Rattus norvegicus: one gene and its partners. The protein of the gene in region 3 interacts with the protein of the main gene of each other region in a pairwise test. Links are inferred from orthologs where the notes say so. Each region holds a gene or a part of one and is shown on either strand. Other genes may lie near its edges. The genes, in order: Nupr1, Prmt8 and Syncrip.

The links.
Region 1: the proteins of Syncrip (region 3) and Nupr1 interact in a two-hybrid assay, tested with the Homo sapiens proteins (2 studies listed by BioGRID and IntAct). The link is inferred for Rattus norvegicus from reciprocal best matches to the Homo sapiens genes SYNCRIP and NUPR1.
Region 2: the proteins of Syncrip (region 3) and Prmt8 interact in binary tests that used the Homo sapiens proteins (3 or more experiments, as listed by UniProt). The link is inferred for Rattus norvegicus from reciprocal best matches to the Homo sapiens genes SYNCRIP and PRMT8.

The regions. Positions count from the first base shown.
Region 1 is NC_086019.1:190,642,939-190,647,347, forward strand, and holds Nupr1 (nuclear protein 1), read right to left. Parts: upstream 2,964-4,409; 5' UTR 2,878-2,963; coding exon 2,766-2,877; intron 2,426-2,765; coding exon 2,295-2,425; 3' UTR 2,282-2,294; intron 1,211-2,281; 3' UTR 928-1,210; downstream 1-927. UniProt on the Homo sapiens protein: Transcription regulator that converts stress signals into a program of gene expression that empowers cells with resistance to the stress induced by a change in their microenvironment.
Region 2 is NC_086022.1:162,222,942-162,227,167, reverse strand, and holds part of Prmt8 (protein arginine N-methyltransferase 8), read left to right. Parts: intron 1-3,477; coding exon 3,478-3,599; intron 3,600-4,226. UniProt on the Homo sapiens protein: S-adenosyl-L-methionine-dependent and membrane-associated arginine methyltransferase that can both catalyze the formation of omega-N monomethylarginine (MMA) and asymmetrical dimethylarginine (aDMA) in proteins such as NIFK, myelin basic protein, histone H4, H2A and H2A/H2B dimer.
Region 3 is NC_086026.1:98,312,212-98,317,158, reverse strand, and holds the start of Syncrip (heterogeneous nuclear ribonucleoprotein Q), read left to right. Parts: upstream 1-1,772; 5' UTR 1,773-2,279; intron 2,280-3,575; 5' UTR 3,576-3,587; coding exon 3,588-3,735; intron 3,736-4,432; coding exon 4,433-4,551; intron 4,552-4,670; coding exon 4,671-4,778; intron 4,779-4,947. UniProt on the Homo sapiens protein: Heterogenous nuclear ribonucleoprotein (hnRNP) implicated in mRNA processing mechanisms. Component of the CRD-mediated complex that promotes MYC mRNA stability.

The DNA of each region.
Region 1 (4,409 bases), on a different chromosome or scaffold from region 3:
CTGCCCATTTCTTACAGTATCCCCCATCTTCTTTCTCTAATAAGACTCTGCCCTAGGGGTTGGGGATTTAGCTCAGTAGTAGAGCGCCTGCCTAGCAAGTGCAAGGCCTTGGGTTCGGTCCTCAGCTCCGGAAAAAAAAAATGAATATGATAAGTGGGAGTGGTGGTATAGGATGCCTAGAAACCAACGCTCTGGAAGTTGAGGCTAGAGGGCCACTTGAGTTTGAGACCAGCCTCAATAAAATGGACTTAGCACCTGCAACTTAGGGATGTTTACTCACAGAGCTATTGTGTGTGCAAGAAAGAACATTCTACCTTGTTCGTCTGAGTGAAATTACAGGAGCCCAAACTCAGCCCTCAGGCAACTCTACACTTGTATCCAATTGTCTTTTCATTTGCCCCACGTTCGCCTGGAATTCTGGTCCTGGCACCCACCAACCCACCCTGCTTAAGGAGAACTTTCTCTTCAGTTCACCAAGCACCCTGCCCTGGAAGCCAGCCTGTCATTCCATGCTTGGATTTGAGCCCTCAGTTGCTTAAAACAAATCCTTTGCATATTTTAAACCTCAGGTTGTTGGGGTTTTTTTGTCATTTTGCAAATAGTATTAATAGAAACATTCTCTTCAAAAAGCAGCTCTACATAATAGGACCTCATTGTGCTCAAGAATGGGGAAGGGACTGGCCAGTTTGTCTCTGGGGCAGTATTGCAAAGAAACCGCAATTTCCCCAGAAGAGACCATAGAAACAGGCACCTCAAAGCATCTGCATACATTAGGTAAGGCAACAATACTGGACAACTGGTCACAGCCCCCTAAGCTACACAGTAAGAAAACTCCCATCCAGATAGTCTCCTAAGAGAGATACACCATGGACACAGCAAGATACAATACACACAAACACAACAAAGACAGCACAACACACACACAAATGCTGTCACTGTTGTACAGTTTATTGTTACTGCCACCCAAGGGCATCCAGTTTTTCCCACTGTTCTTTTTGGGGGTGCCTTCTTAGCTCTGCCCATCTACCCTCTGCTTCTCGCTCCTAACTTGCCCTTTAGCTGGGTCCGGAAGGGCTTTTTTTGGTGTTCCCTCTCCAGAGCCTCACTTAGGTGGGAAAGAATCAAGCAGGCCTAGGTCCTGCTTACAACTCCTAATTTCTCCAAGGTCCTGTATCCATTGCTGGGTGTGGTGTCCGTGGTCTGGCCTCATCTGTGGAGAGGGAAAGCAGATGATGAAAGGGACAGAGATCAGAGTTTGAATTCCCACCTTCCTGCTCGTATTTTCTATAACTTTAGAGAAGTACTTGGCTCTCTCTGCCTCAGTCTCCCTTTCCATAAACCAAATTTCCCCTCCATTGGAAAGGCTCTCTGGGAAACTTTTCTCCCCTTTGGTTGCCAGGGAACTTCAGTCAAGTATGGGTCTCACATTGTTCTAGATGTAGATGACAGCACTATTTTTTCATTTACCGATTTGCTGATGTGTTTGCATGCATGTGGGCACATGTGTATTCTCCTGGGCAAGTGCTACTTTGTGGAGGTCGGAGGACATCGAGGGTACAGAGGTCCTTGTACTCACAGAGAAACACTAAGAACGAGAAATGTCGATCACACAGAGTGTCTCCTCAATGGAGGAGGCAAGTCAAATACTTGCATTCCATCTAGAAATCTGAGAGTGGACTTTTGTTAACAACCCAGTGACCTTTCTGCTCTGTGTGGAGTCAGACTTCCCCCCAGCTTTTGCTATAGAGGCAGACCTCACTCGAATTCTCCAGACTGATTATCCCAGACTCTTCCCTCCCTAGAGCATTCCCCGCTCTTAGGAGAGATGTCACATCTACCTGCTGAACTCCATGCTATTGGTAGAGACCACACTAGATCCTAGGTCCTTCAGCTGTACAGAACCCACCCTCAGGGTCACGTGTACTTTTAAATGAGCTTCCAAGTAGTCACACCTTACGCTTTACTGTGCTCCCGGAATTGGACTGATTGTTGCCTAGAAACCTCTTCCCAAGTTGAACTGTGTTTTAAATATGCTGACAATGAACCCTCCTGGCATCAGACACCCTGAAATCTGATCCAAGTTGATGGAAGTCAATCTGAATGGGGTTTTCATTCTTATCACTTCCCTGCCTGGGTATCTGCAGGGCCCCCTCAAGAACACAGCTTGCAGTTGTTCTCTCCCCTCTTTCATTATGCGGATCCCAGAGATCAATCAAGCATAGGTTGTCCTGCTTGGCTGCAAGTGCCTCCCTCACTGCCTCTCTGGCTCTTGACTCCTCACCTCCAGCTCTGTCTCAGCGCCAGGCCTTTTTCCTTTCAGAGTTCTGGAACTTGGTCAGCAGCTTCCTCTCATGCCCACCAGGGCTGGGGCGGTTGGTGTTGGCAGCAGCTTCTCTCTTGGTACGTCCTTTCCGACCTCCACCGACTGGTTGAGCAGGCGTTAGAGGAAACAGGGCAGAGGAGGTGTGTGAGGTTCAGGGGACAGGCAAATAAATAGCTGGGAGCTTAGGGGTGGGTAGGGCAGGATGGCCAGAATGTGATGGTCACCCTGTACATCTGAGGCACTCTACCCTAGCTGTTTACTCATGTCTAGAAGGAGAGACACTCACTTGTGAGTTCTTGGGGCTAAGGAAGACAAACTCAGTAGATGAGACTAGAAAGGGGGTACTTGGGAGTTGGGAATAGATTAGCTAATAGATTAGGTAAGATGGGGTTGGGGGTGAGAAGAGGGGAAGCTGACCAAGGAGCTGCCATGCAGACCTTACCGACATAAGATTGGGCCAGGCTGTACTGGTCATACTCATCCAGGATCCCATCTTCGTCCTCTATGTTTACAGGTTGCTGGGAAGTGTGGGCTGTTGGTGGCAAAGTGGCCATCATACCTGGTCTGCTTTCTCCAAAGTCTTGCCTGTTTTCCAAATGTCTGCCCTCTCCCAGTTCCCTCACCCCTACTTATAACGCTGTCTCCTCCTTAGACCATGGGGCTGGTTCCCGCCCTCCAAGCCCTGTCTGATGCAATCTGGCCTTTTTCCAGAACTGGGTCCATATACACCAGTCCTGAGCAGAGAGGAGCACCCTCCCCTTTCTCCTCCCTCACAGGACTCACCCAAGCCCAGCTGTGTTTTTCCACGTGGAAAGCTCCTGCCTCTGGGGGAGGAGGAAGCAGACAGGATCTGGGTACAAACAGTCTTTGGGATGTTGGCCAGAGAGAGCAGAGGGCCGCAGAACACACACACACACACACACACACACACACACACACACACACACACACATACACACACACATACACACACACATACACACACATACACACACATACACACATACACACATACACACATATACACACACACACTTACACATACACACACATACACACACATACACACACATACACACACATACACACACACATACATACACACACATACACACACACATACATACACACACATACACACACACAGAGTACATTGTACATTGTAGTCTGGTTCAGACTCAGGAGTTAGTGGCAGCATACCCACTGAAAAGGGAGGGAGGAGAGACACTGACCCACTTCTCGCTAAGTCAGCAGTTCCTGTCACAACCAAGGCTTCTATTTTTAAGGAAAGTCCCCTCACTTTACTTCAATAGAGTTCCCAGGGACTTCCTCCTCATCCAAGGTGGAGGATAGCTATCTGGTAGAGACAGCAAATACTCTGGATTCCACACTCTGATTCCTGATCCACCTCCCTCTGCCCTGCTTTCTGACAGAGGCCTTCTATGGAGCCCAGGTTAGCCCTTGAACTTGCAATTCTCCTGCCTCATCATACTAAACGCTGGAATTACAAATCAGCTCAGATCCAGTGTCTCCTGTGTGACCTTGGTCATGTTACTTTCCCTCTCTAGTTGCTTCAGTTTTCCCCTTTAACAGAGGATAACCCCATCTACCTCCATTGTGAGAGGCTGCAGGGACATGAGGCCTGGAAAAGCCTTCACAGCAGCTGGGAATGGTATAAGGATTAGTCATAATTTTCCATGGTTTCCCACACAGCCACACAGTGTTTTTGCTGTGACCAAAGGGGGGGGGGGAGATTTAAAATAAAATACTGTGGGCTGGCAAGATGACTCAATGGGTAAAGTACTTGCCGCCAAGCCTGGCAACCTGAGTTCATCGGTTTCCAGGACCCCAACAGTATGGGAGAGAAAAATCTCCCACAGAGTGTCCTCTGACCCTCCCATGCCCATTCACACACACACACACACACACACACACACACACACACACACACACACACACACACGATAACTGCATGTGACTTTTACATTCTAAATAATACATTGCTGTGGAGGGCATAATGAAATAAACAGGTGTTTGTGCTTTGACCCCCCTCTTTGTTTTAGTCAGAGTCTCACCTTTGAGCTGT
Region 2 (4,226 bases), on a different chromosome or scaffold from region 3:
GGTATAGGATCTTCAGGAAGGATGGAGTTAGAAGGCAAAGCTGTGACCACCTTGGGCATTGTAGGACAAATTGAGAGCTACACCTGGTACATAACTGACATCCAAAGCCCTTTGAACACATGGGTTTATATTTGCAGCACTGCAGATGGTATTAATCATATTCACCCCAGAGTGAAAAGTTCCCAGTAATCTACAAGCAGCGGGGCTGGCTGACACCCAGAATATTCCCAAGAGGAACTCATCCTCATAGTGACTCAAAGCTATGCCATCCTGGGTTATGGGTTGGGACTGAGGAGGAAGGAAAGCTTAATCGCAGATTCAGAGAACTGCAGACATCATTCAGAGCCTCATCTTCACGGTACAAGATGAGTACCACCCTGCTCATGCAGCATTCCAGATACAACCCGGCTGTTCTAGAGCACCAGAGCCAGGCAGCGTGTCTTTGCTGGTATCCCTCAGCTTACAGGCGGATACTTGAGCGCCAGTTCGTGTAGTAACACACCACCAGCTGCCATGGCTTAGCAGTTCCCTAATGTGGTTTTGTTAGAACTAATAGGTTGTAAGTGGGGTGTCCCTATGATTCAGCTTTCAATTAAGGATGTTTTGGCAAGCAAAACGGAGATCTAGGGATGATCTAGCACTGCATGAACAGACAGGAGTCATGTCAGCACACACAGAGGGATATCTGGTCACTCTTCACTATCTATCTCACCCATACGCCACCTCAGGGGATAAATGTCATAAGTCTATAAAGGATAGAGACAAGATGGTCTGCTCTATGCAGCTCACACTCCAAGGCTTTACGGTACTAACACAGGAGCACAGAGAGGAGGTTTGCTCGTGCTAGTTAGATAAGTTGCTGAGGGGGCTTCCAGCTCACCAGCTGACTCCTGGTGGCACCGGATTTTCAGGGTCACCATAACAACCTGTGGCAAAGAAGACTCTAGGACCAGGCCCTATCGTTCTTCCCACAACATCTACCCAGAAAAATGCAAAAGGAGACAGCCACGTTAGCTATGGGGGCAGTATTATGTCCTGCCGTGTCTTTCCCCTCTGTGTCCCACCTTCCCAGAATTACTGAATTAAAAATGCAGAGCAGGTCTAGGAGATCTAGGGATGACTGTGCTACATGAACAGACACGAACCATATTCACAGTCATAGAGCGAATACATGGTCACTCTTCCCTGTCTATCTCATCCATACAACACCCCAGGGGATAAATATCATGTCATAACTCTGCAAATGATGGGGATGGGATGCAAACCTTTAATTTCTTCTATTTCTAATGGACACGGTGGAAAACTCCGATGAGAAGCCCTGAGACAGACTGTAGCCACTGGCTCCAAGATGGAAACGTTTGGGGAGGCTCTTAATCTTTTGAAACAATGTTCCTTCCACCCAGGGATGGCATGCATGCTTTGGGGTCACTCACTGGAGGCAGACTGGCCTCACTGGCCAGCAGATCTTAGCCAGCGAGGCTTGGATCCTCAAAGTCCTCTCACTGGATGAGAGAGGAGGCAGTTTGAGTCCCCTTCACTGAAGGTCTTTAGGGACAGGAGAGACACCTGCCTGCGTGGGTGGAGGCGGAGATGGGGGCGAGGGTGCTGTCAGCCACACTCCCGGCATCCGCAGCCACAGCCAGAACTTGTCTTTTGACAGTTTATTTAGAGGTAATTGGCAGCAAGCGTGCTGAGAGCAGGTGGTCTGCCAACAGCAGCATGGCTTGCAGGCTGGGTGCTAGGTGGGCTTGAGGCCCAAGTCTCTGCAAGGCACAAGCTGTATGTGGTATCCCCTCCCCCCCAGATGCTCAGACTGCGTTGTCCTGTGACCTTGAATTCTTATTGATTTCCAAATGCACACACTGAGGGCTGCTCTGGTCTCTATCTGACCACTGACATTTGATCAAGGCAGCTCATTGCAAACAACAAGTGGGGAGAGGGGGAAGGCCTCTCTGCTGCCACTAAAATAGATCTTGGGGGTTTTCAGAAGGTCTTTGAGGTCACCCCGTCTGATTTGACGCGTGACAAGTGAACTCGCTCTCGGTGGTGTCCTCAACACCCAGGGAGGAACCAGTAACTCAGTTCCTAGGACTGTGAGGCAGCTCCAGTTCTTCCTGCAGCAACACTATGGGTTCTAGTAATTCCCAAAGCCACGCGTAAAGTGCATATAAATCTCCCGTGCCAAAGTCTTTGATGTGCTTGAAGGACACCCCTGGCCTTCCCAACTCTTCTTGCTGTGGGTGTTGGTTTTAAGCAAGAAGGAAAGTCCACTGGGGGAAGACAAAGGTCTAAGCCGAGAGGAGCTCACCATAAAGTGAGGTTTCTGCGGCCCACAGGTTTCAGTTGAGCATCTTTGGGCAAATCCCACATCGCAGGATGCTGGGCTTTGGCTTCTTGACACTGTTCTCTTGCCATAGACTCGGTGCTTCTAGGTTGGGTGTGGTGAGAGCTAAGCTTGCTAAGCAAGGCTGGTCTGACCCCACTCTTTAGGAGCCTGCAGAGGAGGTAAACAATTGAGGGGGGGGTGTTTACTCTGAAGCATGCCAGACACTGTGATGATGTCAACTCCGGATGCCCTTGGAGTGCAGGATTTAGGTTGGAGTGGTCCAGGAAGGCTGGCCTTGAAGGAGGAGGATGTTGTGAGTAGGAAAGGAAGAGCATTCTGGAGGCAGTCACTGCCCGAGAAAAGGGCTGCATCCCAGGAGACAGAACCCTCCCAGTTAGCTGGAGACTACATGGAGTTCAGTGATAAATACCACTGAGGAACACGCATTATGATGGCCTTGAACTATACAGGAGGGGTGATCTCTGGAGTGAGACTCCCCTGCTGCTTCTCTCTGGTACTATTGGGAAGGCAGGGCTAGAATCCTACACCAGGACTGGGCCAGGGTGCTGGGTACTGCAATGGGGCAGACTCACAGGCAAAGGAAGCTATTCGAAGGAGGGAGAGGGAAGAAGGAGGATGCTGGTAAAGCTGGGAAACTGGCTGAACTATAGAATTGCCATACATGATGTCATAAGTCTACAAAGACCATACAGACAGGATGGTCACCTCTGTTCACCTCACACTCTTGAGTCTTTACTAACACAGGAGCATGGGAAGGAGGTTTGCTTATGCCAATGAGGCTAGTTCCTGAGGAAGCTTCCAGCAAACCGACTGTCTCCCCTCTGGCCCCTCACTAAGATCATCAGTTCTGTCCGGCTGGGGCTGGGATGGGATGGTGGGCATTGGACTGAGTCAGGAGTTCTGGGTCTTGCTCCCGACTGCTTGAGTGTTGGGATCTGGGCAGAAATCAAGACCCATAGAAAGCTCAGGACCTCTGTGTGGGTCCTGGGCTTCAGCTGATTCTTGTTTATCTCTGACTCTCTCCTCTCTCTGTCTCTGCCTGTCTGTCTGTCTTTGTTTGTATGTATGTATGTATGTATGTATGTATGTATGTATGTATGTATGTATGTCTCTCTCATGTTCCTCTCCAGCCCCTGATGCCCCCTACACTCACTGGAAGCAGACTGTCTTCTACTTAGAAGACTACCTCACTGTTCGAAGAGGGGAGGAAATCTACGGGACCATATCCATGAAGCCAAATGCCAAAAATGTGGTGAGTCTAGGAACCCCCAAAACCCCCACATGGCCAGGGCCAAGGGAGACACAGCTGACTCCTAGGGTGCTCTCTGAAGTCACCCACCTAGTCTAATGGACAAACTTCTAGCAGAAGCAGGCAGCAGCTGTGTTTGCAGAGGACTAGGCCTAATTGGGTGACCTCAACTTTGACTCTTCCAAACTCCAATGGCTTTCTAGACTCTGAAGTTGACCTTGAGGACAGACAGCTCCTGGTAGCTCCCAGGACAGCCTTTGAGAATGGATGTTGTATAAATGGGTTCTGCTTCATTTAGGGTAAGCTGAGCCAGGAAAAGCAAGTGTCTGGTTTATTTCTCCAGCCAGCCTGGTAGAACCTTTCTGAGAAGCCCCTGTACCTGCACAGAGGCAGAGTGACTGAGGGTAATATCAAGGAAGATGCATGGACCTCAGTTATCACCTAGATAAAATCCCAGGGCTGCTTTCATGTGAGGACAGGAAGGTTAGCTGTCAGAGCCCTTCTTGTGAGGATAATGGGCACCAGAATGGATTCCTGAGGATTGGGCATGGAGGCCCCTTAGCTAGAAATCCAATAGCTACCTATCCCCATGGCACCAGGAGAAGTTCTACACCTGGGGAGGGCCCCAAT
Region 3 (4,947 bases):
GGGCTGGAGAGGTGCCTCAGCAGTTGAGGGGGATTTACTGCTCTTGTAGAGGACCCAAATTTGGTTTCTAGCATCCAAGTCCAGAGGTTCCTAACTGCTTGTAACTCTAGCTCCAGTGGGACCCATTGCCTCTGTGGGCATCTTCACTCCCATGTTCATACTCACATGCTCTCTCTCTCTCTCTCTCACACACACACACACACACACACACACACACACACACACACACACACACACACTTAGATAATTAAATCTTTTAAAACATGCAAGGAAAAAAAAAGGTCCAAAACATGAAAGGAATTTAGGTCAGAGATGAAGAGGAGAGGTTTCAATTGGAAAATTCTTGACATTGCCTAGGGAGCAGCACTTTTAAAGGAGCTCTTGTATTCAGGGATCATTAAATAAGAACTGTGTCAAAGTTTTCCCCTTGTTTAATCTACCGTCTATTACCATTTTGGTTGTTTTTCATTGATATCATTATCCAGACTTTTGGGGTACAAACTACAATATTTTGCTGAATTAATCAAATACCATAGCAGGGATATGTTTCGTAGTAAGGGATTTAGGTGGTGGATAGCCAGAGCCGTATTAAACAGATTTTGGGTAGACAGTACTTCAGAAATATTTCCTATTTGGTCCACTTGTCAACAGAAAAAAAAAAGCCCTATTTTATGTATTTAGGCACTTTGTACTGTTTATTTAACTTTCCTTGGACTACTGGCTTGTTATTACAGCATAAATCTATGTTAGATTTTTTAGAAACAGTAGCTTTCTCAATATATGTATGTATATATATGTATGTATATGTATGTATTCTTTTTTGCAAACAGGATGTTATTTTACATTACAGCTGCTCTGCATAAAATTAGTATCCATATCGCCTGAGACACAAACGCCTTTGTCTTGTCTTTCTTGTCCCTAGTAAATGGTTACAAAGGAAATGTCACTTCACAGAACATTTAATTGCCAAGATGCTTGAAAAGAAACACATTTTCCTCATAGTTGTCCTAATCACGCAGCTTTCTGCTGCTTCAAGTTGTTCAAAGTGTGCCAGGAGGAGCACTTAACCGCTTAAAAGGCCAGGGACAGAAACGGAATATTGCACAATCCAACACCACCGGGCCGGTTAAGCTTCCAAATCTGGCCTCGGTGTCATCCCCGGGTGGGAGGAACTGGGATTTCCTCGCGAACCCGCGGCGCCCCTCCCTTTGCCCAGGGTATTCGTGGAAGCCGAGGACGGCGCGCGCCGGGCCGCGGGATGCCCCATTGTCCAGCGGCGGAAGCCGGGGCTCCCCGGGGTGACTCCCGAACTCGAGCCCCGCCACCCGGTGGCCCCGAGTTCCGCCATCCCCCGTGCAGCTCCCCTCCCCCGCAGCCCCATTGTCTGCCTCGCCTCGCCCCGCCCCGGGGGACACGTGCGCCTGCAGCTTCTCGAGCGCCCAGGGCGCGGGGCGGCGGTGGCAGCCTGGGCAGAGCGGTCAGCCAGCGCCGGGCACCCTCGGAGCCCCGACTCGCCGTGGGGAGGTGGGGGCGGGGAGGACGGGGTGGGGAGATGCTTGTCTCCTGACAAAGAAGGAGTGGGACACACAGCCAGCCGGCAGCCCCGCCCGCGGAGCGCGAGGGAGTGTCCGCACAGAGGGCGGGTCTCCCATTCACTCGGCCCCTCACGGTCGCCGCGGCGGAAGGGCGGGGTCTCTCCCCCCCCTACCAGCACCTAGGGGCGGGGCGAGAGGCGGGGCCCACGGGCGCGCGTCCTGAGGCGTCGGCTGCGTCGTCACGTCAGCGCGGGAGAGAGAAAGAGCGACTCGGCAGGGACTGGGGACGGGCCGAGAGAGCTAGCGAGGGAGGGCGTGAGCCAGAGAGCCAGCGAGGAGAAGGGCGGCCACTCGTGCTTGAGCGGCCGCGGACGGGAGTGGGAAAGCTGGGGGAGGAGGTGCAGGGAAGGAAGGACGAAGACCGAGAGGACAGGGCGGCCCACGGCCGGCAGAGGTGGCAAGGGGAGAAGGAGGAGCTGTAGGAGGGCAGGGGCTGAGGGAGTGAGTGAGAGAAGCGGACGCGCCAGGGAGGGGAGGGAAGGGGGGTCACGCGGGGGCGCGCGCGCGCACTGGGAGCGCGCTCGGAGGCGAGTGGAACTGGATCGGGTTTGCTGCCAGCGGCGTGAGCTTCGGCCGCCATTTTACAACAGCTCCACTCGCGCCGGACACAGGGAGCAGCGAGCACGCGTTCCCCGCCACCCGACCCGGTCGGACAGGATTCCTCGGCCCCAGCCCCGCGGGGAGGTAACGACGGCCGGCACACGGGTGTTGGGGAGGGGGGAGCTCCGTGACATTTTGGAGGGTGCTTGGGGGAGGGCGGCGCGGGGAGAAACCGGCTTTTCTGGAAAATGGATTCCAAGGGGGAGAAGAGCACGTTGGCCGGGGCTGCGAGAGAGTAGGCCGCGGTCGCGCCGCCACTTCCTCCTCTCCATGTGCTGCCGGGTCTGGGCTTTGTCTGCGGCGCTCCGGGAGGAGGCGCCTCGGCAGCCCCGTGGCCCGAGCGGATCGCGAGCGGCGGCGGACTTGGTGCTGTCGTGGCCGGCGGCGCGGGAGTGGGCGGAGAGGCGCGGGTGCTGTCCCGCGACCGGCCGGCGGGCTTGGGCGGTGCTCGGCTCCCGCGGGCGTGTGCTTGGCGGCGGAACGCCCTCCCGGCGCGGGCTGTCGGCCTCGGCGCCGCAGCCACTGCACCGAGGGGTGCGGGAGGCTGGGGGTCGCGGGCGCACGGGAGCGCCCGGGGCGGAGAGCCATGTGTCACGGCGGAGACGGCGGCGCTGGGGGGCGGGGAGAGCCCGTGGCCTGGCGCCGCCGCGGCCTCGCTTTTGAGGGGCGAGATGTGCGGCTGCAGTGTTCGGGGGGCTCGGACCCCGATTGCGGGTTGATGTTGGGAGGCGGTCATGACGGTCTTGGCCTGGTACTCGGTGGGTTTCCGTTGAAGGAAGTTGTAGGACATTTGAAGGCGCAGAGCACGTGTTTCTAATGGGCTCCTGGCGGCTGCAGTGGCGTTGCTGCCGCTCCGGGTGCGGAGTCGGGGGCGGGCTTTGGGGTGTGGGGGTGAAGGGTGGAGGAATTGGGTGGTGGGAAGGTGGCTTGTGTGAGCGCTTTGTTCTTCGCTGGCTGTTGTTACTGATCTATAAGCGGCAGGCGGGAAAAGCGCACTTTCTGGTTTACCTTGGAGAGAGACAAGCCCAGCGTTGCTTGCTTCACACACCTTATTCTCCGTTTTGGAAGTGCTGCGTGTGGCAGGCTGGGCCGGTCGCTGTGCTGATTGGGCTTCATTTGTAATAAGGTTTTTCTCAGTGAGTGTTAGTTAGCAGGTGAAGTGAGGGGTGGTGCTCAGGAAGAAAATAGTGAATCGGTCCTTCTGTACCCCGGGCTCCACAGTCTGGCTTGTCAGGCGATAGTGACTTTAAGGTTTCTTTCAAGGGAGGCTCAGGCTGACTGGTTGTAGTCAAGTGGAAGAGAAAGTAAAGATTGGGACTGTCATTGTCCTCTATTCTGTTTGAAGATCCTAGTTTAATTTTGCTTATTGCGTTTGAACAGATCTCTGGAAACATGGCTACAGAACATGTTAATGGAAATGGTACTGAAGAGCCCATGGATACTACTTCAGCAGTTATCCATTCAGAAAATTTTCAGACATTGCTTGATGCTGGTTTACCACAGAAAGTTGCTGAAAAACTAGATGAAATTTACGTTGCAGGTAAGAACTAACACTTGCAAAATTACATTATGAAATTTTTCTATTGGATTTCTGACTTTGAGCTAAAATAGCAACTTTTTGTGGTTTCCAATAAACGTGGGAACTGGAGCTTGGCCTTGTTCTGATAGTTGGTTAATTTAGGTTTGAGGTAGAGTGTAGAGGGAGGGATGAAATGAGGGGATAGACCTCCCTAGGGGAAGGCTGTCTGGCCTGATGGATAAGTATATGATAGTAGCAACAGCTGCTGAATGTTGAGAGCAGCCCACGTGACTTTTTGAGGTATTTTTATAGCATGATTCTTGTTTAATAACTTGGTAACTCTAGGCTAGTTCTCTTGTCTTTCTCGGTGTGGTGGCTCCTTTTTTCTAGTGGTACTTGACATTGAGGAGAGGTTCAGTTGTTAGGCTTGGTGTTTTGTTGGTTGACTTTAGGATTTGTAGGCTTATATATTTACTGTAGAAATATTGAGTGTTCAGGACTACTCGAACACAAAACAGGATGTAAAATAGGTTGACTCCTTCTGTGGTTGAGAGGACTTATGGCTAAAGTAGGTGTTTCATTATGTAGAGGAGGGGAGGATAAGGAGGGTAGGTAGAACCATTGTCATATGTGTACCTGTATGGGTAAATACAGGACTCTGAAGAAATAGTTTAGAAAATTTAAAAGATGATAACTCACTAAACTTTTTCTTCTCCAGGGCTAGTTGCACATAGTGATTTAGATGAGAGAGCTATCGAAGCTTTAAAAGAGTTCAATGAAGACGGCGCATTGGCAGTGCTTCAACAGTTCAAAGACAGTGATCTCTCTCATGTTCAGGTATGTTAATTTAATGTCAGTGTAGAAAGAATTAAAAATGAATATTTTTGATGTGTTCATTTAAATTTATTAGATATAAACATACTAATGTTAAATATGAATTGGAAATTTCTTTACAGAACAAAAGTGCCTTTTTATGTGGAGTCATGAAGACTTACAGGCAGAGAGAGAAACAAGGGACCAAAGTAGCAGACTCTAGTAAAGGACCAGATGAGGCGAAGATTAAGGTATGCTTTTAAAACTTTCTGCAGCTTTACAACCCTCCCAGTTATTTAAGAGCTTTGTCAAATGTTCCTGAAGTGTGCCCGGGTACATATATTTCTAAGGTTATTCCTGAAGTGCGCGCGCGCCGCGCGCGCACACACACACACACACACACACACACACACACACACA